Tamandua tetradactyla: one gene and its partners. The protein of the gene in region 3 purifies or fractionates together with the protein of the main gene of each other region. This does not show direct contact. Links are inferred from orthologs where the notes say so. Each region holds a gene or a part of one and is shown on either strand. Other genes may lie near its edges.

Region 1 (7,148 bases), on a different chromosome or scaffold from region 3:
CTCCAGTTGGAGTGAGTTGATGACAAGTGTGCAGGCCCCACTTTGTTGGAGAAGAGTGATAAATCTGTGCTGTTTGAGCATGGTATTAATCACCTGTGGGAAGGGAGTCTTGCCACTACGAATTCCTTGATTAGTATATGGACTACTTTTTTTTTCCCCATTTCTGCCAGGACACCAAACCAACTCACCATGTTTTCCACATACCTTTTTGGCCGTCCTTCTCAGTCTTGTTTATTCCTGCCTCTAATTTCCTCAAATTCTGAATATTGGAAGAAACTATTTTCCATCAACACTTACTCCTCCCTTGGTGATCTCATCCAGTTTCCTGACTTTAAATACTGTCTCTGTATTGATGACTCCCAAATTAATATATCCAACCTCAATCTCTCCCCTAACCTGCAGATTCATGTATCTTCTTGCCCCCTCTACAGTTCTACTCCAATGGGCATCTCAAATTCAGCATGCCCCAAACTGAGCTCCAGATATTCCCCCCAAACCGGCACCTCCCGTCTTTCCCATCTCAAAAATGGACAACTCCATTATTCTAGTTGTTCAGGCCAAAAATCTTTGCTGCTTTCTTTCTCTGATATTATACATCTAATCTGTCAGCAAATCCTGTTGCCTCTACTTTAGAAATAGATTCTGAATTCAATTCATATCTCATCTGTCACCTCTAGATTATTACAATAGGCTCCCAACTTGTCTTTCTGCTTCTGCTCTTATCACCCTGAAGTATATTCGTAATAGAAAAGTTAAAGTGACCCCATTAAAATGTAAATCAGATTACATGGATCCTCTGCTTATAACCCTTCACTAGTTCTCCAATGCAGAGTAAAAGGCAAAGTTCTTTATTTTGACCTATAAGATTGCATTTATCTGACCTCTGCTACCTCTCTGCCCTCATCTCCTTTAATTTTCTTCAAAGGACACTATGCTTCAGTCACTCGAGGCCCTTTACCCTCTCCATTCTATCTCTAAAATGCTTTTCAACAAATATCTGCATGGCTCTATTCCTCTTCCTTCAGACCTTTAATCAAAAGTCACCTTCTGGGGTGGGCCATGGTGGCTCAGTAGGCAAGAATGCTTGCCTGCCATGCCAGAGGACCCAGGTTCGATTCCTGGTGCCTGCCCATGTGAAAAAAAAAAAGTCACCTTCTGTTGGTTTTCTAAAGCTGCGAGAATGCAATATACCAGAATTGGAACGACTTTTAAAAAAGGAATTTATTATGTTACAAATTTACATATTTAAGGCCATTAAAATGTCCAAACTAAGGCATCCAGGAAAAGATACCTTGACTCAGAAAGGCAGACAGGTCTGGAACACCTCTGCCAGCTGGGAAGGCACATGACTCGCATCTGCTGGGGTCTTTGCTTCCGGTTTTAAATGGCTTCCTTGGGGGCATTTTCTTCTTTCATCTCCAAATGTCTTTGCCTGTGTCAGTTCTGAAGCTTTTTCCAAAATGGTTCCCTCTTTTTTTTTTAAAAAATATTTTTATTGACAAATCTGCACACACGTACAATCCATATATCGTGTACAATCAATAGCTCACAATATCATCACATAGTTGAGTATTCATCCCATGATCATTTTTTAGAACATTTGCATCACTCCAGAAAAATAAAAAAAAGAAAAAACTCATACCTACCATACCTCTTACCCCTCCCTCTCATTGACCACTAGTATTTCCATCTACTCTATTTTATCCCTTATCCCCACTATTATTTATTTTTTATCCATATTTTTTTACTCTTGTGTCCATACCCTGGATAAGAGGGGCATTAGACACAAAGTTTTCAAAATCACACAGTCACATTGTAAAAGCTATATAGTTATACAATCATCTTCAAGAATCAAGACTACTGTAACACAGTTCAACAGTTTCAGGTACCTCCCCCCAACCACTCCAATACACCATAAACTAAAAAGGGATATCCATCTAAGGCATAGAATAACCTCCAGGATAACCTCTTGACTCTATTTGAAATCTCTCAGCCACTGAAACTTTATTTTCTTTCATCTCTTTCAAAATGGTTGCCTCTTAAATGACCCACCTTGAACGGATAGAGATTTATCTCTATATTAAGAGATTTATCACTTAATCAAAACTTCCCACCCACAAGTGAAGAGTCACATCTCCAAGGAAACAACTTCATCAAAAGATTCCACCCAGCAATATGGAATGAGGATTAAAGAGCATGGCTTTTTTGGGGTTCACACCACTTTCAGACCAGCACACCTTCCCAGTGAGGCTTTTCTTGGCCTTCCTACCTAAAATAAAACACCCCCTTTCAACCTTGTATTCCCACATGCCTGATTTATTTTTCCTCAGTTATTTATCACATTTTTTAAACCATGCATTTTACTTATGCTTTTAATTATTTATCTCTTTTATTAGAGAAGAAGCTCCATGAGAATAAGACTTTTTAAATGTTTTGTTCATTACTGTATATTCACCACTTAGAATAGTGACCAAAATACAGTAGGACCCACAATAGATATTTGTTGAGTGAATGAATGAATAGGATGGAGGTTTCCAAGAGGCAAATTATTACTTGCTAATAGAAAACTTTATAACAGCCAGAGATGCTTGGCAACATAATCACAGTGGATATGCACAGAACACTTACAGCTTAAGCATCTGTTATAGACCCTCACATCAGCCAGGATGGGAGGAAGTCTGGGCAGAGATTATGACGTTATTTGAAGAAGAAACTGAGTCTAGATAGGGAAAAAGGACTTGACAAAGATCACACATCTGGTCAGGGTAGGATTAGAATTGTGGACGTCTGCTGGCCCTGGAAGAGGCTGGTGGGTGATGGAGTTCAAAGGGGGTTGGATTGTAAGGACCTCTGATAGGAGGTTGAGTCAGAGGCAACTAGGATACAGGTATCAGCAAAGGAGTGGGGGAGATGACGAGGCTAACGACTGTTACTGAACTCACCAGTAACAGAACGCTATGCCTGAGACTGTCTAGTCACTCAATTCTGAATAGCTTCTTCAACGTCACAATCCTAGGAAACCAGTGAAACCACTGCGGGTCTGGATGGTCTGGCCTTCCCACTGGACTGTTGATTTTTGGGGAGCAGGGGCCACATTCATAATTTTATCCCCAGCTTCTAGCAGAGCCTGGAATACAGAAGGGGCTCAGATATTTTTGTTGGAGACATAAATAAATGAATTAATATGCCCAAACGGGAATCTGAGGCTCAGAGTGAAGTGGAGGGGTCAAAAGCCTCCCAGCGATTCTGGATTCAGTCCGGAAACAGACAAATTTTCCTGGGGCGCAGAAGGAGAAAAGCCCCTGCAGTAACGCAGGCGCCTAGAACATACTTTACAGCAGCGGTTGGTGAGGAAAATAGCAGCCTGCTTGCGGAGGGGCGGGGATAAGTGGAGCCATAGGGGCGGGGCCAGGCTGAAGAGGTCGATTGGCTGAGGCTCAAAGAAGGGTTCCTAGAGTGGGCGCGGCAAATTCTCTTCTCCAACAACGTGAACAAAGGTGTGTCTAACGTTACATCCGTTCGGGTGCGGTGGGAGCGGGAAACAAAAGGAGGCCAAACACGCATGCGCTTGGTAGGTCCCGGATTCTGGTGGGTCCTTCCGCTCAGGCAGGTGGAAGCGCTTCCGGGTCGTGACCCGCTCCCGCCTCAGGTGCGGTAAGTACCGTAGCAGAGCTACAGCTGCTGTCTTCTTGCCTCTTCCATCCTCCTTTCCCCAAAGAAACCTAGTTTCCTTGACCCGGCTGCTGAGGAGCACTATTTCAAACGCTCCTAAAGAGATATCATTTACTGGCCGTTTCCTTGAGACTAAGCTCCACCCCATCGCACAAGATCCGTCAGTCATTGGTGTCACTTCCTGTCACCCGGCATTTCTTCTAGTCAATTGGCCCAACCTAGGCCCCGCTCCTTTTGCGATTAGCAACCCTATAAGGCGAAATTCCTGTTCAAGTCCCCACCTCTGTTTCTTCCTGTTGGTCAACCCCATAGTCATTATCATAACGAGCAAACTCTGTAAGAATGGGCCGTGGATTTGCGGCGTTGGGCTGGGCTTTTGGATCTACGTTCTCTGGCCTCTCAGTGTTTCCGAGAGGTGACATTGGGTCCAGGTCTGCTTGTTGCCTAGGCTGGGAGGCAGAGGTCTAGAGAAGGACAATGACTAGCTCCGGATCGGTCAAATAAGTCAGAACAAAAGTAGTACTAGACATAAGTAATCCTCTTCTGCTCATCGCTTCTAGTGACCGTCCTAGAGTACGTCTCTACGAGAGTTCGAGTCTGAGCCCCAACTAATCTAGAGCCAATCGCTGCCTGTCGCTGTCTCAGAAAAGTGAACTGAGAGGTTTTAATTCAGAATCTCTTGGACTTTCCTGGTTGGCTCCTTCAGTCGTTCACTCAGAGATGAATTTACTTGTTCTCTTACTGGTTCATACATTCAACGTTCCATCAATTTATTTATTCATTTACCAACTAATTTACTCGGGCCTTCAAGAATTTCTTACTGAGCCCCTGTCTGCACAAGGTAACACCCCACCTCCCCACCCATCCCCAATTTGGTTGTGGTCCATGAGTAAGATGGTTTAGTGTCCTAATTTTCTAACTTTGGGTAGGTGTTGTACTGCCGGTAATAAGAAATAAGCAGAAAGAAGGTTTTGGTGTTTGGAGGAGGTAAAGATGTTTCAGTAGAGACCCCTGCTACCTCTCATTTTGTACAATTTTGTAATTATAATCTACGTCCTTGAGTCCTCTCTACTCTTGGTTTTCACTCTCTTCTCTCGTGGAGCAGCTTATAAACGTCTTTTTTTAATCCATTATTTCAATTAATTATCAGAATAACTTTAAGGGTGGTGAAATTGTTATCCCCATTTTATCGCAGAAACTGAGGCTCAGAGAGGGTAAGTGACTTGGCTAGGGTCAAACAGCCAGTACGTGGTGGAACCACACTTGAAACCAGGTCTTTCTGATTCCCAGAGAGAAGTGCTGCTTCCCTACTACCTTCTACTCCACCCCGTTCCTAGATCAAATTACAACCAAAAAACCCCAAACCAAAACAAATATAATACCCATATCTGAGAGCTGGATTCACCTGATCCTTTCCCTCAGTCTAGGAGCCATGTCAACTCTGTTCCCCTCACTCTTCCCCCGTGTGACTGAAACATTGTGGTTTAATCTGGATCGACCCTGTGTGGAGGAGACAGAGCTGCAACAGCAGGAACAGCAACATCAGGCCTGGGTGAGTAGAGATCTAGCCTGGTAGGGGCACAGTGGTGAAATTCTCAGTCAAGGACCCCCCTCACCCACTGGACCAGGAACCAGCCTTGTTCTGGAAGCCTATCCTGGGGGACCTTTTTGCCCTGAACTAGGAATAATCTGGAGCTGGGGCTCAGAGGGCCTAGATTCTCATCTTTGTTCTGCCTTAAATTGTTAGATGACCATGAAACCTCTAGGCCAGACTGGAGCCAAGGCTTCTGACACTCACCCCAGGCTCTTTTTTCCTAAAGCATAGGAAATGATAATTTTGACTATTTACTGAGAGTCTAACAAATGCTATATTCTAAGCTGATGTTCTCTCACTTCACCCTCACCATAAATTCTATAAGGAAACCAAAGCCCAGAGAGTTTAAATAGTTGGGTCAATTCAAAAGTAAGTGGTAGATGATGGGAGAGAAAGTGATTGGATCTTCTTGACAACTGGGAGGAACCTTCTCCCCACTGCCCTCACTTTGGAATCTTTTGGGAGGAGGTGGGCCAGTCCCATGTCTAACCTGCCCTTCTTGGACCCTGGCCTTGTTTCCCTACCCTTTTGGCCATAGCTCCAGAGCATTGCAGAAAAGGACAACAACCTGGTACCTATTGGCAAGCCAGCCTCTGAGGTGAGTGGTTCTAGCAAGTGGGGCCAAGTGGTGGCCAAAGTCTGCTCTAGTTCCAAGGGTCCTGCCTCTAGCACCAGAGCAGTCATGGTCTTCAGCTCTAGTTGGGTGGTGGGCAGATGTTGGGGCCATTGGAGAGGTGGCCTCTTGGCCTCAGCACTAAAGTCCTGTAGAACATGCACTAGGCTTCTGGACTGAGGAGGACGGGGTTGGAGAGGTGGGGGTCAGTTATTGGGCCCCAAGAGAACTCCAAGAAGGCTAGCCCCTGAAATAGTCCAGGCAGGCCTGTAGGACCCAATAGGCATTCCCCTACCCCACCAGCACTATGATGATGAGGAGGAAGAAGATGATGAAGATGATGAGGATAGCGAAGAAGACTCAGAGGATGATGAGGACATGCAGGACATGGATGAAATGAATGACTACAATGAGTCACCTGATGATGGAGAGGTCAATGAGGTAGGTAAGGGTTTGGGGATAGGGTCTGTGCTCCTGGTTCCCTGCCTCTGACCTAACTGGTGGCCAGGGGATACCAAAATCCCGGATCTAGTCAGGGACAGAGTGGATGAGGTTCTGGGGGCTTGCTGGAAGACTGAGGTTCCTTCCCACCCACACCTAGCTTTCTCCCCAGGTGGACATGGAAGGCAATGAACAGGATCAAGACCAGTGGATGATCTAGATGGAAGGGCAGGGGTGGCCTCAGGGAGAACTGTGGCCAACCAAACCCACTGCGCATCACCTGCAGAACCAGCTGATGGCCCCAGTTCCTGAAAGCTCAACTTCAGGTATCTCCTCACCTGCTGCCAACAACTGGTCTCCTTTTCCCTCCCAGGTCATCAGTCTGCCACTGAATACCTAGGGTCAGAGCTAGTACTTCACCCCATGGTTGCCAGGTCTGATCTCTTTCTAACTCTCTTTAATAAAGACACAGGACTAATTATTTTCCCCCCATCTCTATTCCCTATTTGTTTATGGGTCCCAGAAGAGTCCAGTATCTTCTCCTGAACTTTGGGGAGAGGGGACTGAGGGACTCTAGGTAAGACTTAATTAGCCAGGTGGGCTGGGGAGGGCAGGCCCCTTTGCCATTTCCCCTGGCCCAGCTTACACTAGCCATTCCTGGAGGGCTTCTATCTCAGGATCTGCTCTCTTCTCTGATCCTACCCAGGATTACATGGGCTGGGCAGGGGAGGCCCCTGGAGCGCTCTCAGCTTTTTCTCATAGTGTTAGGAGAGAGGACTAAAACTCAAGGAATGGGGGTCAACCACTCCCCTGGAGTCACCCAATGAA
Region 2 (6,836 bases), on a different chromosome or scaffold from region 3:
CATAACCTTAACATCACCTTAAGAGAGTGTCTTCTTCAATAATATCTGGAAAACATTCATCATTATGTTTTATGTTGTTAGCAAGTAGCACCCTCTTCACAGTTTATCAAGAAAAATCAGTAGTGGAGTAAGAATTGACCTAAAACTCAGATTATCAGCTAAACTACATAAATACAACTTAATAAAATATGATGTTAATGCTATCTGAGACATTTTATTAAAAATTAGCTACAAAGACCAACCAAAATTTGGAACTAGAACCCTGTGATTAAAGAAAAAAAATTGATTAAGTATTTAGGAAAGGCACCTTTCTCTTCTTTCAGCAGGGCCTTCTCCAAAAAGTGTGATGGGTTCCCCCAAGGCTCTAAGACAAGCCTTGACTTCTGAGTCATCTGTAGAAACATTGATTTGCCGGGCTCGCTTCCTTCTCTCAAACTCAGCCAGTACTTCTGCCTGTCGCTCACTGATGTGCTCTTCAATTTCAAATACTTCTCCTATAAAAAGAACGCGTAACATCAGCATAATGGCCAGATCTTTTTTCAAAGAGAGGGAAAGAAATGATTTCTAATAACTGGAGTCCCTATATGCCCCTAGGGGAAGGTAATAATCGAATCTATTTTGTACTTTATAGACATAGTTTATTCCTTTTCAATTTATTAAATTATGCCCAGCACATAAACATAATGAGACGGTTTTAAAAGGCAGGAAAATGGTTCAAGCCACCCCTTATTTCATCTGGCAACCTCAATCTCATACCTAACATAAACACTTACCTTGGATGAGATCAGAAAGTGAGAGTATAGACACTTCTAGCAAGTGAGTTAATTAACTAGGCTTTCTATCCAGAAGACAAAAATAGAAATGCTATTAACAATCACCAAAGCTATTATCTAAAACAGCACCAGTATAAACACACTTACAAATGTTACTAGTCAAGTGAAAACGATATTTTTGTGACTTTAAGGCTTTTTGGATAACTGAGCAACTAGTTTTAAAAACCACACCAAATATGAGCATTTGGATACAAAAATGAGAGGTACAATGATGAGGCAGTTAAGTTTAAAAACAGTAGTAAAGGTTAAAGTTGCTACACTAAAGGGCATGTGTGTAAAAAAACATGTCTGGGAGGATCAACGAAGTTCTTTCACATGTACCCTAGAACAGTCAATGTTTAATCCTAATCCCATTCTGTAAAGGCAGTCGTTTCTTCTAATCCCTATTCAGTACTGTATGTTTGAAACTTAAATTAGATTTTTCCCATGGAGTTGTGACTCGATCAAGAGTGGTTGTTAAACTAGATTAGGTGGAGATGTGTCACCACCATTCCATGTGGGTCTTGATTAGTTTATTAGAATCCTATAAAAGAGGAAACATTTTGGAGAAAAGGGGAGATTCAGAGCGAGCACAGAACAACGCCCGAGTCACGAGGAAGCCACAACAGAGAATGCCACAGAACCACAAAGCAGAGAGCCCTCCAGCCAGTGACTTTTGGAGATGAAGGAAAACACCTCTGGGGAGTTGGAGAGGCGACTAGCAGATGCTGCCGTGTTTGCCAGGTGCCCTCCCAGCTGAGAGAGGAACCCTGACCGTGTTCGCCATGCGCCTTTTCACATGAGAGAGAAACCCTGAACTTCATCGGCCTTCTTGAATCAAGGTATCTTTCCCTGGATGCCTTTGACTGGACATTTCTAGGGACTTGCTTTAATTGGGACATTTTCTCGACCTTAGAACTATAAACTAGCAACTTATTAAATTTTCCTTTTAAAAAGCCATACTGTTTCTGGTATACTGCATTCTCGCAGCTAGCAAACTAGAACACCTTCTGTACTGTTTGAATTTCTTATGACTAATGTATAGTTTTATATTAAAAATATAGTGGATTTCTACTTACCTACATGGATAGACATGTAGACTGAAAAGCACAGGTTACAAAACATTTTGCATATCATGGTTTCATTATGAAAAATAAATATGTTTTTATAACTACTAAAATTCTCAGAAACCAATTAATAAAGATTATAAAATTTTCTACACTAATTTTTTTTTTTTTAACATGGGCAGGCACTGGGAATCGAACCCGGGTCCTCTGGCATGGCAGGCAAGCATTCTTGCCTGCTGGGCCACCGTGGCCCACCCTATACTAATTTTTTTAAAAGAAAAAAATAACTTTTATAATTAAGATATTTCATGAATACACAAATCTGTGATGATATTGCGAGCCACTGAGATTGTATACCATGTATGGACTGTATGTGTATGAAGATTTCTCAATAAAAATATTTAAAAAAAAGAAGATATTTCATTTTGGATGAAAATTTAAAAAGGGGGAACATATGAGCCACAGTTGCTCTAAATTGATACCTGAACTATGCTAAATCTCCAGAAAGCAAAGGGAATCAATTTGAATCCAAATACACAATGAATAAATTCATGATAGAACTACTAATAATTCATGGAAGAAAAATGGCATGAAAGGCTGTAAGAAAAATGCCCCCTGGATGATGGTAAAAGGGGCAGGCAAAGTATGGCCCTAGACATGCAAGTTTAAGAGCTGAAATTTTTTGATACTGTAAAACTAGTGATCTAGGTCTAGAAGGTAAAATTTGTAGGTCTAAGCTATTTCAGAAAAGGTGAGCATCAAAGATAAAGATGAACTCACAGTTTGCATCTTACCAGAGGTTATGTTAATATTTCCTGCTTCTATTCCTGCTTTAAGTCCTTCTTTTCCCAAAATTCCAGACTCTCCTTTGGCCAGACGCTCTCTCTCCTTCTCTTCCAAACTTCCATAATAGATGTGAGGTTTCTTTACAACAGGGGCAACTAAGTCATCAGATGCCTTTGATGTTTTGGTTGCCTGCTAAATCAAAGAACTGGATTAATTTAAGGCTTAATATTAGCAACCTATTAGGATTCCCAGGATCTTATTCTGAACGTCAGTCTTATTTCCTCTCCAAATAAAGGGACAAGTTGGACACCAATTAAGATATTCCTCCCCAATTTGGGGGCATATTTCGGTCCCTCAAACACTGAAGTTTTGCAGACAGGAAGAGGTGGATAAAGTTAGTGAATTCCTCTTGGAGATTTTTCTATTAGCAGTTTGCAGTGGAACCTGTTCTTTCGGCTGCAAGTGCAATCTCTTCTTAGGTTTTAGAATCCGTCCTTGATTATTGCTCATCACGGGGAAATGGCAAGAATACTGAAATCCCAACCATGGCATAAGGGACACAAAGTTACAATGTTCCTGGTGTTTATACCTCAAACGTTTTCGGACATGAGGCAATAGATTTGGAGTCAGAAAGCCTCATTTCAAGTAACAGGTCTACACAGACGTAAATCTTCCTGTTTCAGGTCTCTGTTTTTGGACCAGTGTTGGAAGAAGTGTTTACCGTTCGGGGATGTACAGAGAGAGGTGCAAAAGAGCTAAGGCATAAAGAGTACGTGCTTAGGGACCAGTCAAACTCTGCGATGCTCCCGCAGCCTGCCTTCCTCAACCCTCTACCACCGTGGCCCGTTCCCTAACGGTCCATCCCGCAGAGACCACACCCCTCTCACGCTTCCTCCCGGGGAGCTGAGATCCCAAGTTCTGTACCGTGGAGGAGGCTCGAGAGGAAGCCATGCTGGATTCGGAAGCCGCGAAGTTCCAGCGAAAACCAAGATCGGCGTTTCAGCCAGTCCACCGCGCGCATAGCAAAGCGGAACTGCGTCCCGGGCAGGAACTGAGCGCACGACCGACGCTGCGCCCCGGATCGGCGCGCGGCATGATGGGAGTCGTAGTAGGACAGATTCAGGTCACGTTGAGGGGCGTGACCCGTAGAACCTCCGAGAAAAAAACGCGGGAGTCGAGGATCTGCGGGAGAGAGGCTCAGAGGACTCTGGGAAGTGTAGTCCTCTTGGCTTGGCGGTCGATTCCGGTGGGCGCAGAGGTTCCCGGAACTGTCACGAGCTGATCCAACTTGCAAAGAGGTAGGTGCGTCGAGTGGCGCAGCTCCGGGCTGAACTCTGGAGCGAAACGAGGGCTTCCAGGGCCCGCAGTGCCTCCCGGGCGTAGGGGAGACTTTACTGGTCCTGGAGGGGAGGACCACGTTGTCATGGAAACCTTAGCTCCGGACCCCTGGCTTTGGGGAAGGAGGGCTGTTCTCGTCGATCCAGAAGCTCTCTCAGGGGCTCCCTCCGGACTGGGTAAATTTGTAGCGGATTTGGGCAGCAGCGGGAGATTGAGCTCGAGGAACCCTCCAGTCCCACAATAAAATATGGACCCGGCCGTGGAAACACGGCCTGATATTGTTGATTTTCAAACGGTCTTTGTATCAGATTAAGAGTGAGATGATGGTTATGAAGGCGTCAGGTAATCTGTACACAAGAAACTCTAAGCACGGCCCTGTGCCCAGCTGGAGTATCAGAGATGAATAACACAAAGTTTTTGCTCCCAGTTGGGGTATGACGAGCATTCTCAAAATATCGGTGTTGCTCGAGTCGGACTGAGGCGCTCGCCTCCCCACTAAGAAAAATATTACAATAATAACAACAGCTTATTTATTGAGCATTTAATAAATGCCAAATTATGTGCCAGGAGCTTAATCTGCATTAAGTCATTCAATTCTTACAACAGAGTACAGATACAGATGAGGAAACTAAAGCCTAGTAGGAGATGAGGCAGAGACCAGTGGGATTTAGAACCTCTGTCTTTTTCGCCTCCAGTCAGCGCTTTTACCTACGTACAATATTACTCTCTACTGCCCCCTAGTGGCGATCTTTTCAGTTTGGCGAAAAGTCAAACTACATAGCAGTTTTTTCTATTTTAAGTATTCACGCCTTTATGTTGTCTTTGGAAGTTTGGCTTCTTCTGCCACTTGCTTACATTGGAATCTGGTAGAAAATAGTATCTTATTTAGTAGAAAGAAACTTGAAATGTAATGAACCAGCGTTTTGTACTGACCGTAACTTTTACCTGTATCTGCCCCACTCTTGGTGGGAGGAGTGAACATTTCATCCTTCGTGTATGTCATAAGTCCCTAGTTACATCCGAGATACATGTAATAATGATTTATATTTGTACTTTAAAATGCCTTTCGCTTACATCATTCTCATTTAGTCCTCACGCTGTGATGTACATATGGTTATTATAGGAGGCTGACGTTGTTAGCTAAGTTGAACAGCTTGCTTTGACTTCTTATATTCAAAATAGGGATAATTTTTCCAGCTTCATGGAGTTTCAGTGGAGATTAAAATAAGAATGTAAAGAATGATCGTGGGAAAACTTAGCATGGTGTGTAAGAGAAGTTCATTTCCTTTCTCTCTTTATTTGGATCTCTGATTTTATTCAACAGACTTTTACTGACTGTGTTATTGAGTGCATCCATTAGATACTCTCTGCTGGATACTGTGGATAGTAGAAAGATCATCAGAAGTTAAACTCAGTTGGGGAAGTTTGGTATCCTTCTCAAAAAATGTTTGTTACTTTGTTAACACAGCATTACTTGGGTTCTCAGACTATAGATGCTCTCTTGAAACTCTTTGCATACTTGTTCTCTCTGCCTGGACTGTCCTTAATCCCCTTTCTCTGTCTGCACTTTAGAAATCAGTTAAGACATTGTCTCCTCCAGTAAGCCTTCCCGAACATCCCTGTCTACTCTACGCTCAGCCCAGCCTGGATCAGTTGCCTCTGTGATGCCATTTCATTACTCTCATCAGAGTCCTTATTTTATGATATGATTATTTCCCATTATGATTCCCATTATGATATGATTATTTCTCATTGGTTTTCCTCACAAACTATGTGTTTGCTGAATGAATGACTTACCCATTTAGACCCTGAGGATAACCCTGTCAATTGGTGAGTTAGAGGAACTTTTCATGAGATTTAGCAAACTGATTTTAGCATTCAGGACTGATCACAAATCTCCCAATAATTCTCATGTAGAGTGGATTAAATTTAATGGCTGTTCCACTTTCCCTGTAACTATATTGAATTAAGATGTGACATTTCAACTTCATTCGTATATTTCTTTGAATGTGATTGGAGTCTGAGATTAAAGTAATCATTGCCTAGAATTCTCTCTTATAGGCCTGCTATTTTAAGTTCTTGAAGAGTTTTTAGAAATTACAGAGTTGTGGTTTTCATCATGTAATAAAAATGTAAGCCATACATTTAAAAACTGAGAGGTCTGTGTGAATCCAAATGAGTCTTTTTCACCACATTCACTTTAGGGTTTGTGCTTACAAATTGACCTATGTGTGTGGCTGAGACTTATCCTCTCCAGATTTCCTCTTGTCTATTATTTTTAACAGCTAATAATTCACTGGTTTGGCCCTTAGTGTTGATTTCAGTATGCTGCGACGAAAACCAACCCGCCTAGAGCTGAAACTTGATGACATTGAAGAATTTGAGAGCATTCGAAAGGACTTAGAGGTAAGAGTACAACCTTCGACTCCTTAGGAATATTTAAAAAGATAACTAACTTCAGAACCTCAGACTTAATACCAGTAGCTTATTTGAAATCTCTCTGTGGATGCTTTCTAGGCATTTCAAACTTGATATATTAGTTCCCTAGGACTGCCATAACAATTACCACAAACTTGGTGGTTTAAACAACAGAAATTTGTTTTCTCACAGTTTGGTGGCCAGAAATCTGAGATTAATATCACTGGGCCAAAAACAGACTGTTGGCAGGGCCATACTTCAGAGGATATAGGGAAGAAGCTGTTGCGTTCTAATTCTAGCTTTTGTTGCTCTGGCATTCCTTGACTAGTGGCTACATCACTTCAATCTCTGCTTCCATGGTCACATTTCCTCTTCCTCTTCTGTGTGTGAAATCTCCCCCGCCTCCCTTTATTGG
Region 3 (7,408 bases):
AATATAAAAGCACAGCCTGCAAAGGATCCTGGTCTGATGCCACTTCCTTCACAATGTCCTCGTTGGTCTCTCCAAAAATCTCTGGCTAGTGAGAGGAAAATGTGTGTTTATATATATTTTTTTGTTTTTATATATTTTTATTTATATATTTTTTGGTATGCTGTAGGGTAGAGGTCACATTTCATTCTTTTTCCATGTGACTATCTCATTATTACATTAGCATTTATTGAATTTTTTGTGCGTGGGGGTAGGTGCATGAACCAGGAATTGAACCCGGGTCTCCCGCATGGCAAGCAAGAATTCTACCACTTAACTACCCTTGGACCCCCAGTTTATACTTCTTTAAGGTACTTAAATCATGCCCTATATTGGAATAACTTTGAGTACTTTTTTTACCTCTGAGCAAATTAGAAGCTTGTTGTTAGTGGCAGGGGCCTTGTGGACATCATCGTGTGTGTTCACTGTGACTCCTCAGCCCTGGGCCTTGCACACAGTGATATCAGGAGACAACCAGGTGCATCACATATGCTCTCAGCTCCTCCTCCCAATAACCATGGGAGTAGGGCAGATAGGCTAAGGCATTTCTTCGCAACAAGACAATGCCCTCCAAGTGGTCAATGTTCTTTATGGATTGAGTGGATGGAAATCCCTTTTATAAACTGCATGATGCCTCAAAACCCTAACTGCTACATGAAAAGCTATCAGGTAAAGAAAGCTTCCACAAAACGCAAAAGAAAATCCAATTGCATGCATTTGATGCTATTTTAATTGGGGCATTAGGACATGGCTTAAAATAATTCAGGGTCAGCTAAGAAGCTCGACTGTGAAAAGGAGATTTCTGTTGTTTGGAAGGCTATTTAGTGTGAATGTTAAACTCAGCAAGACCAAAAGTGAGAAAGCAGATCTCAGAGCTGTGAGCAGTGAGTTTTATCCTATTGGTTGGACAGCCACAAAATTCTCAAAACTGTTTTGTTTTTAATAGCATGCAGGTTAGATGAGGCAGGTTAGATAATATCCAGTGAGCTCTAAGAAGCAGTCTGAATCGGTGGGCCTCTGTTTCTTTATCTACAAATGTGAAGGCAAGGAATGGGAGCAAACTAGGGAAAATCAGCCCAAACATTCCTCAGGTTTAAAGAGGATAAAAGGAAACAAAGGTTCCTGCTTAATATCTTTAGAATTGATACATGATCCAAGTATATCAAAGAAAATTAAAATCATCTCTAATTCTACCTCTCACAGATAACCACTGTTACAACTTTGGCATGTACTCTTCCAAACACAGAATCTTGCATAAATAGTTAAATAGGTAGACCCACTCTAAATTTCCTCCAACAAAAACGGAACTGTAAATACATATTATTTGCAACCTACTCTTAAGTCAGTCTCCCATAGTAAACAACCTGAGTTGTTTACAGTTTTTCATGATTGTAAATAATCCTATGATAAGCTTCCTTATATTCCAGTCTCTACTTCCTCAGGATAAATTCCTATACATACGAATACTGGACTTGTAATTCTTATTAGAACTTTTTTTCAAATTGGAAAAATAGTTCCCATGAGTTAGTATGAATATCTTTCCCAGAAAAGCAACCAAAACAGTCATGGGCAACAACAAAAACCCCAGCAATCCAATTTAGACTCATTTTGCCAAGACATCATGTCCCAAATGTTCTTCCTACTTAAAGCTACCCCTTAACTATCATGATTGATTGTTGTATTGCGCAGTGTCGATGGCTTCAGCAGCATCATACAGACCTTCCCATTGCGTGCTCCACTGTAGACCTGCCATGGGAGTTGGGGGAGGAATGACTGTATTCTCCTGGTCTCTGGGGGCAGGCGGGGGGGGGGGGAACCTTTTTATTGGGCTCCATCAATCAGCATAATTCCCTCACCTTTCCCAGTGGGTGATTTCTGGCTAGGCTGCTAATAGGGGTTGGTCTAATCATAATGAAGTCCAACATCTTTGTCTTATGGTTGGTAGAGGAGGCGTTCATTCTCCTGGTCTGAAAGAGGTAGCATACAGCTCCAGTTGCGGTCTTCTGTGACCACATGGGGAGCCAGCCTCATGATGATATAAACCCTGTAGAAGGCAGACAAGGTAGCTGGGTTCCTGATGAGACTGAATGCTGGATCTAGTTTGGCCTGAATTCTGCCCTCCTGCTGGACTTTTAATTTACATTAACCACAACTTTCTTGTTATTGCCTGTTCAACTTTGAGTCACGTTTTTTTGTTGCCGAATGGATGCAACTGTGGTAGAGCAGAGAGGTTCCAACACCACCCATTTACATCCTTTTCTCTTTCCTGCAAATTCACATTCAATTTGCTTGTTTTGTGTTTCAACCATTTTATGACTTCAAAACAGGCCTCAAAATAATAGCTCTTCATATGGCCTGTATAGGTACATCCCACAATTCCATCTTCCATTTTGTACACAGAAGAGGGAATCTCAAACCTTTTCTCAGGTCCTGACCTTTCACTTTCAAACCTGATTTTTCAGTTGCCTGCTGGCCATGATGGATTGATTTTTATGCCACACTCCCACCTTAACATAGACTTCACCCCCCAGAAATCTCTGTTGGTAGCTCTCTGGCCTTTCCAAATCTGGCTCCTCACTGTTATAATAGTACAATCTAGACCAAAGAGTATGGCGATTGAAAATCAATCTAGCTAGTCAAAGAGGTATTTCAAAAAAGTTAGTTCTTTCTTGCATTTTAAAAAGAAACACTTAGGGAGAGAATATACAGAGCGCAGAAATGCTTAAAATCTGCCTATTTTCCATTTACTTCACTTTTCCCCACTTTTCCCACATAAATATCTCCTGCCTTGTTTCCTTAAATAGCGTATGATCCATGAACTACTTTCTCCCCGTTTCTTCTTGATTTTCTGTTACAAAAGCACAAATGAGCAGGTTTGGCAAAGCAGTTCTTACACAAAAGATGGAGAAGGTAAAGAAAGGAGCTGGTAAAGCAAAGAACCTTCTTCATCAGGTAGTAAGGAAAAGCTAAAAACACATGCGTGTTAATAGTTTTTTTTCCTTTCCCTATTTAGGATCATTTCCAGTAACAACAATCCCTGCTCCCTACTCCCCACCAACACACACGAGGATATAAAACTATTTGCTGTTATTTCACCACATATGGAACTCCAAAGCTATCCTGTTTCCTGAACTTTAATACCTTCTTTCTAGAAAATTCATTCTAATCTCTTCTAAAATTTCTTAGTGTACAACTAGTTAACACTGTCCTGTCCTTCAATCCTTTTTATAATGTGCTGTATGAGGGTTCTTATTCAGTGTAAGTTCCAGGTAAACATCAAGAGTTAAGAACAGCACTTGGCACAAAAACAGCTTCTTGAATATTTGTCTCTGAATGAATTAATCTATATCTGTCACCTACTTCCCAGGGGCTAGATCAGAGAGAGTACAAGATGACAGAGCTTGAAAACTGAAGGTCCTGCCACCTTTTTTCCATTGAACAAGTAAAAAGTGAAACCTGGAGGCCTTTCTACCATAGTCATAGGATGTCATGGTGACATCCTGTAAGCCCGAGTCACGGCTCAGGAAACTGTTGAATGGATTGACACATTTAAATATGTCATTTATAAAGGGCAGTCAGAAGGGTCAGCATTTACATGTTCTCTGCCAGACTGGCCTATGAGCATTTTGAACAGAGCCTTTTGAACAGTCATGTCCAATACGTCTCTGTAGCCCCAGATTCTTGAACATAGGAAATGCTCAAATAGCTACAGGCTAAGTCTTGGATGAGCCCACACTCCGCATTCTCATATGATGGGGCTAGTACTACCAATATGTAGTGAGGTTTATGTAGGATAAGGACTCAAGGCATTATATCCCCATCTGAAGGAGGGTTTAGAGTCCCCGCCTTGGCTTCAAGTTGTAATCACCTACGGAGTTATAGTAAAGTCAGTAAGCCATCCTTACTACCTGATGGCTGCCACACGGTACTGATTTTCCTTGAATTCGTGTGGAGCGCTGCATGGGCAGGATTTTAAAACCTCTCCAGATGATCCCACGTTGTAACTGAAGACCACTTGTTTAGAGGCTGTCAAAGGCGGCTGACCAGGTCCCGGAATTCACATGCCTTTTTCTCTCCCTATCATCTCTGAGGCCTCAGCCTTAACCTCTGGACTGTCCCTTCGCTGGCAGAAGCAAATTTCCGGGAAAACGGGAGAGGCAGGCGGGCAGGCGGCCATAAGGACGAGCCCCATGCGTCCCGCTCGCCGCCTCCTGGCCCAGCGCTCCCGAATGCCCCGCGCTCGCCGCCCCCAGCCCACCGACCCCGAACCCCCGATCCCGCCTGCCCCCACCCAGCCGCGCGCCAGCTCCGTTTTCTAGCGCGGAAGTCCCGGCGCCGGAAGTGCCGAAGCGCGCACCCGGACGGCCCGGAGGCTCCTGCGCGCGGCCGACGGAGGGAGGGAGGGAGGCTGCTGGGGCGGTCTGTACCGCCTGGATCGCCTGGGCCGCCGAGGGGACCCTCGCAGGTACCGCCCTGTCGGAGATCGCGGGGTCGGAGGCGGCGCCGTGTCCGGCCGGGACAGGGCGGCGGGGGCTCCCTGGGCCGGCGGAGGGGATGCTACCGGCCTCCAACTAGGGTGTCTTTGCAGGGCGGCCCCCATGTTGCGTTTTCCGACCTGTTTCCCATCCTTCCGGGTGGTGGGCGAGAAGCAGCTGCCGCAGGAGATCATTTTCCTAGTCTGGTCTCCCAAGCGGGATCTCATTGCTCTGGCCAATACGACGGGCGAGGTAAGTGAACCGGCGTGGAGCCCGTCTGGGGCAGGGCTGACCCCCTGTTGGTGCGGGTCACCCACTGCCCGAGCCTCAGTTTCCTTTTCTGTGGACAGGGCAGGGTACCTGACTTCCCCGCCTCTCACTCCCATGACCGCAGCTATTAGAGAGAGTGCAAAGGGCCATATGCGCGAAAATTAATAATATTTGTGGGTCCATTTTCACATAGCTTAACACAATTCTGCATCCCCAAATGGTCTTCATTCACTGAGCGAGAATAGTGGAAGATGCACAGACTCTACCCTAAGTTTGCTTACAGTTTAGTAGCAAAAGAAAAATGAGTTATTACTGTGAGTTCGCTGAAAATCAACATACACGTAACTGTCAGATACTACAGGTTTAAGGATTTTCATTCTGCTGTCCAAGTTTTAAACTGTGGTTTCATTGCTAAATACATTTAAATTGAACAAGGGAGACATGCTTCGCAGGATTTCTACCAGAACGTGCAGTGACTTACTGATAAGCATTTCTAGTTCATATTACATTACCCTACATGTATAAACAGAATGTATACAACTTTTTGCCGAGATTTCATATTGACCGCAGAGCCATTCTGTAAAGAAACCTTCACTGGTGCATCTTCCCTCCTTTGGCCTCCTGACAGTTTTCCTGATAGTTGTCAGACCTTGAGCGGTGTGTGCGCCCGAGTTTCAAAGATAGATGTTAAGGTAAGGTTAGCAGTATACAGAACTCTTTCACCTTGTTGCCTGCCATAACCCCGCTACCAGGGTACTGATAATTGTACCAGAAGATGAAATATGTCCTTAGATTTCTTGCCCCTCCGTGAAATCTTCTAGTCTTTTTTCTGCCAGGGTGCTTTGTAACTTTGTGACGGTTCTAGATGGGAGTAGATAAGCTACAGATAGTTCAGCCTCAGCAATAGGGAGGAAAGTAGAGAATAGGGGCATCAGTGCAATCAGATGAGTAGGCACTTGTTTTCATTTTCCTGTTGAGGGAATAATCTAAGAAAGCTGATGAAGAAAAAAAAAATACTGGAAGCTTGAGTGAAAGGAGAGGTATGAAAAAGCTGACAAGGCAAGTGGGCTGATCCATGAGTTTAGTGGTCTTGTAATTTTTTTTTTTTTTTAATTTTTTTATTAATCAAAAAAAAGAAAAGAAATTAACACAACATTTAGAAATCATTCCATTCTACACATGCACTCAGTAATTCTTAGTATCATCACATAGATGTATGATCATCATTTCTTAGTACATTTGCATCGATTTAGGAAAAACTAGCAAAACAGCAGAAAAAGATATAGAATGTTAATATAGAGAAGAGAATTAAAATAATAATACTAATATATATATATATAAAAAGGAAAAAGAAAAAAACAAAAACAAAAGATACAAACACACAAACAAACAAACAAAAAACCATATTTCAGGTGCAGCTTCATTCAGTGTTCCAACCTAGTTACATTACACTTAGGTATTATTGTGCTGTCCATTTTTGAGTTTTTGTATCTAGTCCTGTTACACAGTCTGTATCCCTTCAGCTCCAATTACCCATTATCTTACCCTGTTTCTAACTCCTGCTGGTCTCTGTTACCAATGATATAGTCCAAGCTGATTCTCAAATGTCGGTTCACATCAGTGGGACCATACAGTATTTGTCCTTTAGTTTTTGGCTAGACTCACTCAGCATAATGTTCTCTAGGTCCATCTATGTTATTACATGCTTCATAAGTTTAGTCTGTCTTAAAGCTGCATAATATTCCATCGTAGGTATACGCCACAGTTTGTTTAGCCACTCGTCTGTTGATGGGCATTTTGGCTGTTTCCATCTCTTTGAAGTTGTAGATAATGCTGCTATAAACACTGGTGTGCAAATGTCCGTCTGTGTCTTTGCCCTTAAGTCCTTTGAGTAGATACCTAGCAGTGGTATTGCTGGGTCGTAATCCATTCTGCCATTCTATGTCTTTTGATTGGGAAATTCAGTCCATTAACTTTTAGTGTTATTACTGTTTGGGTAATATTTTCCTCTACCATTTTGGCTTTTGTATTATATATATCATATCTGATTTTCCTTCTTTCTACACTTTACTCCATACCTCTCTCTTCTGTCTTTTCGTATCTGACTCTAGTGCTCCCTTTAGTATTTCTTGCAGAGCTGGTCTCTTGGTCACAAATTCTCTCAGTGACTTTTTGTCTATAAATGTTTTAATTTCTCCTTCATTTTTGAAGGACAATTTTGCTGGATATAGGAGTCTTGGTTGGCAGTTTTTCTCTTTTAGTGATTTAAATATATCATCCCACTGTCTTCTAGCTTCCATGGTTTCTGCTGAGAAATCTACACATAGTCTTATTGGGTTTCCCTTGTATGTGACAGATTGTTTTTCTCTTGCTGCTTTCAAGATCCTCTCTTTCTCTTTGACCTCTGACATTCTAACTAGTAAATGTCTTGGAGAACGCCTATTTGGGTCTATTCTCTTTGGGGTGCGCTGCACTTCTTGGATCTGTATATTTAGGTCTTTCATAAGAGTTGGGAAATTTTCAGTGATAATTTCTTCCATTAGTTTTTCTCCTCCTTTTCCCTTCTCTTCTCCTTCTGGGACACCCACAACACGTATATTTGTGCGCTTCATATTGTCATTCAGTTC
Region 4 (8,016 bases), on a different chromosome or scaffold from region 3:
TGACATTCTGATTAGTAAGTGTCTTGGAGTATGTCTATTTGGATCTATTCTCTTTGGGTATACTGCACTTCTTGGATCTGTAATTTTAAGTCTTTCATAAGAGTTGGGAAATTTTCAGTGATAATTTCCTCCATTAGTTTTTCTCCTCCTTTTCCTTTCTCTTCTCCTTCTGGGACACCCAAAACATGTATATTCATGTGCTTCATATTGTCATTCAGTTCTCTGAGACCCTGCTCATATTTTTCTATTTTTTTCCCTATAGTTTCTGTTTCTTGTCGGATTTCAGATGTTCTGTCCTCCAGTTCACTCATCCTATGTTCTACCTCTTGAAACCTACCATTGTAGGTTTCCTTTTTTTTTTTCATCTCTTCTACTGTGCCTTTCATTCCCATAAGTTCTGTGATTTGTTTTTTTCAGACTTTCGATTTCTTCTTTTTGTTCATTCCTTGCCTTCTTTATATCCTCCCTCAATTCATTGATTTGGTTTTTGATGAAGTTTTCCATGTCTGTTCGTATATTCTGAATTAATTGTTTCAGCTCCTGTATCTCATTTGAGTTTTTAGTTTGTTCCTTTGACTGGGCCATATCTTCAATTTTCCTGGTGTGATTTGTTATTTTTTGCTGGCATCTTGGCATTTGATTACCTTAACTAGTTTATTCTGGAGATTGCTTTCACTTCTTTTACCTAGGGTTTTCTTGCTGGAGAATTTGTTGTCTATCTGTTCTTTGACATTCAGTTCAGCTTTTTCTGGACCTCTAGCTTAGGTTATGTTTAACAGAGGAGACTTTTTTGGTTCTTGTTTTCTTCTTTCTCACCCTGCTTGTATGGTGCTTCCCTGCCACCCTTAGAAGGGTCTACTTGGGTATTATAGACCCCAGCTGGGTTTTCCTGGACCCAACTGGCCTCCTATCAGGGGGAAGAAATCACCTGTGTCAGTTTTCCCTGGGGGTGAGACCCAGCAGGTTGAAAGACTTTCCTGTGAAGTCTCTGGACTCTGTTTTTCTTATCTTGCCCAGTGTGTGGGGCTTGTCTGCCTTCAGGTCCCACCAGCATAAGATGATGTGGTACCTTTAACTTTGGCAGACTCTCCCTGCTGGGGATGTGGTGGAGACAGAGGACAGGTTGTAGGCTGGTTTTAATTTAATACCAAGCTCTGGTGTCTGAATTCCTTGAGGGAAGGATTCCACCTGAATTGGGCTTCACCCCTCCCCTGGGGAAGGCACAGGCTCGAGACAAGCCCTGAAACAAGCTTGTTTCTGCCTATGCCTGAGGCAGTTGCAGCCTGAGAAGTACCCTGCTACTGAATCCAGAGGCAGTCTAGCCTTTGTAGAAACACAGCCACAAAAACCTCTGCTTCTTTTCTTTTTTTCTTTTTCCATTAGCCCAATGAGCAACCTCCGCTTTGACCAGATTCACCTGAGCTGGGGGCCTATTTTTAGTAGTCAGAATTTGTTAACTAATTCCACAATTGGCGTTTGCTTGGGCTCAGCCCCTGCTGCTGGTAAACTCCTTTCCTTTCCCCTCTGGGAAGCGGCCTGTGGGGGAGGGGCGCCGGCCGCTGTAGCTTTGGGAATTCACGGTTCTGGGGGGTGCTCGCAGCTGGTCCAGCTGGTCCAGACTGGGGTATGCCGTGTGTCCGGTCACTGACGTGACCCAGGAGCTGTTCTGAACTGTTTGTGATTATTCAGTAGTTGTTCTGGAGGACGAACTAAAACGTGCACATTGCTAAGCTGCCATCTTGGCCCCTCCTGAAGTGATTCTCTTGACCAGCTCCATTGCAGCAAGCGAGTTAAAGTGTTTTTGATGAACTGTTAATGTAAATACAGTCTAGCCTATATGGTTTCATATACTATTATTGCAATTGTAAGGAACAGTTTCGAATGCAGCCTTCTAAACCAGGAATCTTCAAGCCAAGGGAAAAACCTGTTTATAAAAGTATGGAGATCAGGGTTTCTTGACTACTGACTGAAGATTTGCATTTCAATAGGCACATGGATGAGAGAAGATTAGGTTATCTGAGAGACTATCAATATTATTAAAACCAAAAAATGGATTATAAAGGTTTTGTGGAGGGCAGATTCCTTCTCTCAAGGCCTACATTGATAGCAATGTCACTCAGCATAAATACAAAAGATGCAAAAGGCACTGCCTGTAATTTTGGTAAATTTTGTAGCTGTGCTTCAAATGTCTGAGAATCATTTAAAGCAAAATCTATGAAGTCACTATTTTAAAAGCCTGTAGGTAATCCAACCAGCACAAGGACCTTTTCTTTTGATTACTTAGTTTAGAGGAAAACTGTCATTAGTTGTTTCCCGTAATGTGATACCATCAGCTTGATTTTACATTATCTAAATACCTTACCAGTATAACTGTCATATTTATAAGATAATGGAAATCAGTGTTATACTTTAAACATTATTTGACTGTTATTAACTTGTTTTTTTTTTCAAAAATAGTTGCTAGACTAATTCTGCAAGTGAAATCATTGCCCTCCCCCCTCCATCGGACATGACATCCAAGAGTGAAAGTCTCCCTGCCGGCATGGGAGATGAGTTCCAGGGATGAATCCATACCTGGCACTGTGGGATCAACAATGCCATCCTGACCAAAAGGGGGAAAAGAAATGTAACAAATAAGGTATCAGTGGCTGAGAGAGTTCAAGTAGAGTCAAGAGGCTACTCTGGAAGTTGCTCTTACACAAGCTTCAGGTAGACCTTGCTACCTATCATAACCTGCCAAACCCCAACCAGGACCATTCCAGCCAATCCTAAAGAACACCTAGGGCAATATATAAGATTCCATAAGGGTTCCATGCACTAGAGCAACTTTCCAGAAACCTACAACCTCCAGGTGGGTCCCTGGTCCAGATAAGTCCTGAAATCTAGCCATTCTCTCCAGAACATCAGATAGTTCCATCTCCCTACCCCATATTACTGACAGACCTTTCAATATAAAAAATTTAGAATTGCCATAGCCCAAACAACCCTAAAGATAGGGATGGAAAGATCAAGGATAATAGTGGAGTTATACAGAGAAGATAGGATTTAACAAATGAATATGAATGCTGAATCATTAACTTGATATCTCTTCTATCAATTAGAGCAGCTAGAAGTAAAAACCTAAAATTGTGGAATTGTAACTCGTGTCAAACTCTGAAATATGTTCTACAACTAGCTGTGCTTTGAAATTTATAGCTTTTTTGTATATATGTTATTGTTCACAAAAAAAGGAAAAAAGTCAATTGTGATAAAAAAAATATTTAAGCCCTCTAGCCTCCTATATTCTGGAGCAGCTAGAAGAAAAAATATGAGAGAATCATATGGTAGCCCATGATAAACTCCGGGATCTGTCTTATAACTACTCGTTGAAGAGTACTTTGAAAACTATTGCTTTTTCATTTCTTTGCTTTGTATATATGTTATACTATACAATAAAAAAAGTTAAAAAAATAGTTACTAGATATAATGAGCCTAAAGGTGTAATTTCTTTAGGCAAAATAGGAATTGAATCCATACCAAGAATAAACAGATAAGCAAATAAGTAAATAAATGAAGAAGGAAGATCTCTTGCTTATTGTAATAGAAGGCCAAGAGCTGAAGGGATTGCTGGAATTGGAAAGTCATTGTTTTGCAACCATCCTGATAAAGACAGTTTCAGATAAAATCATCAATGGACTCTGTGAGGTGCGATAAAGTGAAGCACAATAAAGTAAGTATGCCTGTATATATATGCAAAAAAAAATCATCAATGGATGTGAAATCTAGAGGGAGTTTTGAGGAAGAGCAGAATATTTGCATGGTCTTAGAGAGTGTCTCCCCCAAGACACTTTACTAGTTGCAAAGAAGAAAAAACAAAGCAGTAATTTTACAGTGGAGAAACCAGGTAACGTTTTTAACACGTGAACAAAATATCACCTATGAGGGACTGACGAACATTGTATTTCTATAGACTTGATACTCTGAGGATACATCACTTATGCAGTATTACAGCCAACAATGCATATTACCAATTAAAATCACAAGGAACCAGCAGACAAACAAAAAAGTGAGAAAGTTCTATTAAAAAAAGCGAAAGGACACTTTTTTGTATGCTTCAAAAATGTCAATGTGATAAGACAGAAAAGCTGTGGAAACTGTTCAGATTATAGGAGGCTAAAAAGACATGAAAATTAAGCATTTGATCATAGACTGGATCCTGTACAGGCAAAATGCTATGAAGGACATTACTAGGTCAATCAACAAAACTAGGATAAAAATTGGATTAAAGAAAGTATTGTAATAATGTCAATTTCTTAAGAAATGCACCCTGCAAAGATGGTTGAATCTGAGTAAAGACTATACAGGTGTTCGCTGCAATATTTTCATATTTGCGACTTATTCTAAGTTTGATATAATTTCCACATAAAAAACTAAAAGAAGAGATTGGCTTTGAGAAACAATTTGATTGAACTAATCGGGCAGGTTCCGAAGCTGCCACAATCCTTGAGACAATGTTATGGAAACATCATGGATCCGAAAGCCTAACCCAATCCCAGCGCCCAGCATTTGTGATCCTTGGAAAGCCACCTAAGCCTCTCCGAGCTTCAGCTGCTCCACCCCGGAGAGCTCTTGGAATGATCAAAGGAAAGAATGAATAACAAAGCCTTTCATGAATTATGATATTGACGCTACACGCCAGTGTGGAAGAGGAAAGGGGTATCAATAAGGAGGACGGAAGCCATAACTGCTCGTCACACCTCTAAAACCGCGTCCGCCGCACTGCCGCTTTCCGCGGGCCACCTCCACGGCGCGCGCACCTACGCCTCTCCAGGTGCAGAGGCTGCCCAGAGCGCGCCCAGAGCGCGCAGCGCGGAGCCCGGCCGCGCGAGGCCCCGCCCACTCCCCTCACCCCCGCCCCCGCGCCGGGGCCGCGCCCTCGCCCTGGCCCCGCCCTGGCCCCGCCCCCTGTCCAAGGGCTTCGCGGGATCGCCCTGGAAACGCATTCTGGGAGGAACTGGCAGCCGCCAATGGGAAGGGAGCGAGTGCCACGAACCAGCCAATAAGGAGGGAGCAGTGCGGGGTTTAAATCCGAGGCGGGGCCCCGCTGCTCCCGGCGTGCTGCGGAGGAACGGCTGTTGCTCTGTGGTGGCACTTGGTCCCCAGGTGGTCCGGGGCTCCCGGGTTCTGCTTCTCCCTCTGAACTGCTCCCTGGTGAAGAAGAAGCCATGGCACTCCGAGTCACCAGGGTGAGTTGCTGCGAGCCGTGAGCAAGCGTGGCCTTCCCCCCGTGCGCCCTCTCGTCCTCCGTCGCCTGCCGGAACTCCCCGACTGGGCAAGGGCCGGGCAGCGATTTGGGGAGGAGGACGGAAGGTCTCGGAGAGAGTGCCCAGGGCGCCTGGTGTGCTGGGGGAGGTGGGGAGCAGTCAGGACGGAGAGAAGGCGAAGAAAGACCTGGAAGGGCCTTGAGAAGTACTGGGGTGGGGGGGGGGGGCTGTAGCGTTGACGGGAAGCCTTTTTTAAAAGGTGGTGGAGGGCCGCCGAGTAAGCTCCCAAGCTCCCTTCCTGGAGAAAAGGTGCCTGCAATCGGAGCTTTTGTTTAGGTTTTCTTTCAAATGTAGATTCACGCTAATTTGAGAGTTGGCCCCAACTCCCCGAAAATCCCTCAGTCGGTGAGTGAAGTTCCGGGAGGGAAGTAACGTGTCACGGCCTTAGAGAAGACCCCGAGACCCAGTTTTCCCCTCCCCGCAATTTCACTCGGATTTCCGCCTCTCTTGTGCCGCACCTTAATTAACCCTCGACTCACCCCGGCCGGGCTTGAGCAGCTCTGAACTGATCTTGCTTCTTGCAGAACACGAAAATTAATACTGAGAATAAGACGAAGATCAGTATGGCGGGCGCAAAGCGAGTACCTTTGGCCTCTGCTGCAGCTTCCAAGACAGGGCTGAGGCCAAGAACAGCTCTTGGAGACATTGGTAACAAAGTCAGTGAACAGCCACAGGCCAAAATGGCCTTGAAAAAGGTAACTTAGCTTCCTGGCCTAATTTCTCCGTATAAACCCACCTCGCAACTGTGGCTCTTGATGGTGGAATATTCCATTCCTTTCCTTTCATCTACAGGAAGCAAAAGCTTCAGCTATTGGGAAAGTTATGGCTAAAAAACTACCCAGACCTCTGGAAAAAGCAGCTTTGCCTGTGCCGGAGCCAGAGCCAGAACACGAACCAGAACCGGAACCCATTAAAGAAGAAAAATTTTTGCCTGAGCCTATTTTGGTAAACGCATTGTTACCTACTTTAGTGTCCTTTCCCCTCATTTGACTAATGCATGGGATAACATTTGAATACTAATAGAACATTTTAGTTCATACCCTGAGACAGGCTCTATTAAGTACTTTTCATGCATTAACTTGCCTAATCTTCGCATATACTCTCTCAGGTAGCTGTTATTACTTCTACTTTTTAGATAATGACTTAGAAAGGTTATAAGTATCTTTTCCAGAGTCATAAAGCTAATAAGTAGCACGTTCAGGACTCAAACCTAAGCTGTCTGGCTTTAGAACTAGTGCTTCTAAGTGCTCTCCAATACTGCCCACCTTTGTTAATGGTATTAAGTAGTAGCTGCCTGGAGCAAAGATTTTGCTGACCAAGTTCAAACCATTCATGTCTCAAATTTCTTGACTGAAATACAGAATAGTCTCTTAAATCTTTTTTTGGTCACCTAGTTTCCTTAGGTATCCTGTGTTAGTGTAACATTAATTAGATCACTTCATGATAATACCAGAATTAAATAGGTTTGTATCTTCTGTTCAGGTGTGCCTCTGAAAAGTTGTTTAGGGTTGACTTTTCCAGCAATTCTATGTAAATCCTATAATAAGAGAACTTGCTAAGAAAAAGAATTTTAACTCAGATTTTTTACCCAAGAAAAATGACAGGCTTGGTAATTCCCTTGAGAAGAATGTACTGCTCCAGTTTTAGGAGCCTTAAAGGTGGGAATTTTCTTTTTTAATGTGTTCATTGGATAATTAGCCTGTAACATTGGAATGTATGAAGGTATGAGGTAGAAAGATAATGTAGCTAGCTCTTCAGAAGGAGGCAAGAAGATGAATTAACAAGCTAGGCTTAAAAACCAGGACTTTTTATTAAATATCAGATACATAAATATATCTACTCCTCTGAAAGGAGGACAAGCCATCCAGAAAATGGGGCATTCTACAGATATTGTAATGAAATGTATTCCAAGGCTCTAATTTTTAAAACTTAGGTTGGGAAAATAATCTATTATCATCTAGTTATTCAGCCTAGATGTTGATATCTAAGGGTAAGAGATTTGAAGCCTCTCTGCTTTAGTATTGATCTTCGGAACATAGCATATCAAACATGTAGCTGACAGTCATTAATATGGACATACCAAACTACCTAAGGTTTCCTTGAAAGCACTGTACTGATTCCTGCCTTTACTTTCTTACTAAGAATGCTTTCTCCCACCTTCTCTCATCTACTTGGTAACCTTTTCATCCCTCAAAACAAAACTCAAGCATTAACCTGTAGAGCTATCTCTAATTTCACCTACTGCTACCCATGTTTCTAGAATCAATCTCTCATTGATTTATTCTTCTAAATTCTAAGCTTAAGGATTTCAAGAATTCAGTGCCTTAGAAGACAACTTGCAAAACATGCTCAAATATTTGAATAATGTCGGGAAGAGAGCATAAAGGAAATGATTAATCACCGTGAGAAGAAGCCCATATTTTGAAGGGGAAAAAAGTATACATCTAAAGACTGGCTTCTCATTAGTTCAGGTCTAAGACTGCCTTGTCAGTCACTTAGATTCTTCACAGATGGCACTAATAAACAGATACTACTTTTCTTTAAAGGAAGGTCTAGAATATGAAAGTATTTGCTCCTGCTACATTTTACCTTTTAGCACTGAGGTTCTGCTGACTTCAAATTGGCTCAGTTTAAGCTGGCATTTCACTTTTGATATTAATTACTTATTAAAGAGAAATTGAATAAATCTGAAAAGACAATAGTTTTTCCTTAA

Evidence for each region.
Region 1: the proteins of ANAPC4 (region 3) and ANAPC15 purify together in Homo sapiens (affinity purification with mass spectrometry; 10 studies listed by BioGRID and IntAct, with this or other methods). This does not show direct contact. The link is inferred for Tamandua tetradactyla from reciprocal best matches to the Homo sapiens genes ANAPC4 and ANAPC15.
Region 2: the proteins of ANAPC4 (region 3) and CDC26 purify together in Homo sapiens (affinity purification with mass spectrometry; 11 studies listed by BioGRID and IntAct, with this or other methods). This does not show direct contact. The link is inferred for Tamandua tetradactyla from reciprocal best matches to the Homo sapiens genes ANAPC4 and CDC26.
Region 4: the proteins of ANAPC4 (region 3) and CCNB1 purify together in Homo sapiens (affinity purification with western blotting; 3 studies listed by BioGRID). This does not show direct contact. The link is inferred for Tamandua tetradactyla from reciprocal best matches to the Homo sapiens genes ANAPC4 and CCNB1.

Annotation. Positions count from the first base shown.
Region 1 is NC_135334.1:74,141,777-74,148,924, forward strand, and holds ANAPC15 (anaphase-promoting complex subunit 15), read left to right. Parts: upstream 1-4,139; 5' UTR 4,140-4,392; coding exon 4,393-4,513; exon of another isoform or gene 4,514-5,094; coding exon of another isoform or gene 5,095-5,099; coding exon 5,100-5,224; exon of another isoform or gene 5,225-5,694; intron 5,695-5,804; coding exon 5,805-5,864; intron 5,865-6,182; coding exon 6,183-6,320; intron 6,321-6,492; coding exon 6,493-6,540; 3' UTR 6,541-6,806; downstream 6,807-7,148. UniProt on the Homo sapiens protein: Component of the anaphase promoting complex/cyclosome (APC/C), a cell cycle-regulated E3 ubiquitin ligase that controls progression through mitosis and the G1 phase of the cell cycle.
Region 2 is NC_135328.1:33,882,929-33,889,764, forward strand, and holds the start of CDC26 (anaphase-promoting complex subunit CDC26), read left to right. Parts: upstream 1-3,814; 5' UTR 3,815-3,963; intron 3,964-3,977; exon of another isoform or gene 3,978-4,179; intron 4,180-6,315; 5' UTR 6,316-6,328; coding exon 6,329-6,409; intron 6,410-6,836. Other genes in the region: PRPF4 (U4/U6 small nuclear ribonucleoprotein Prp4), read right to left, coding at 308-494, 2,674-2,857, 3,590-3,616. UniProt on the Homo sapiens protein: Component of the anaphase promoting complex/cyclosome (APC/C), a cell cycle-regulated E3 ubiquitin ligase that controls progression through mitosis and the G1 phase of the cell cycle.
Region 3 is NC_135345.1:25,466,381-25,473,788, forward strand, and holds the start of ANAPC4 (anaphase-promoting complex subunit 4), read left to right. Parts: upstream 1-4,406; 5' UTR 4,407-4,501; intron 4,502-4,624; 5' UTR 4,625-4,634; coding exon 4,635-4,763; intron 4,764-7,408. UniProt on the Homo sapiens protein: Component of the anaphase promoting complex/cyclosome (APC/C), a cell cycle-regulated E3 ubiquitin ligase that controls progression through mitosis and the G1 phase of the cell cycle.
Region 4 is NC_135335.1:117,327,525-117,335,540, forward strand, and holds the start of CCNB1 (G2/mitotic-specific cyclin-B1), read left to right. Parts: upstream 1-5,006; 5' UTR 5,007-5,204; coding exon 5,205-5,225; intron 5,226-5,827; coding exon 5,828-5,998; intron 5,999-6,095; coding exon 6,096-6,248; intron 6,249-8,016. UniProt on the Homo sapiens protein: Essential for the control of the cell cycle at the G2/M (mitosis) transition.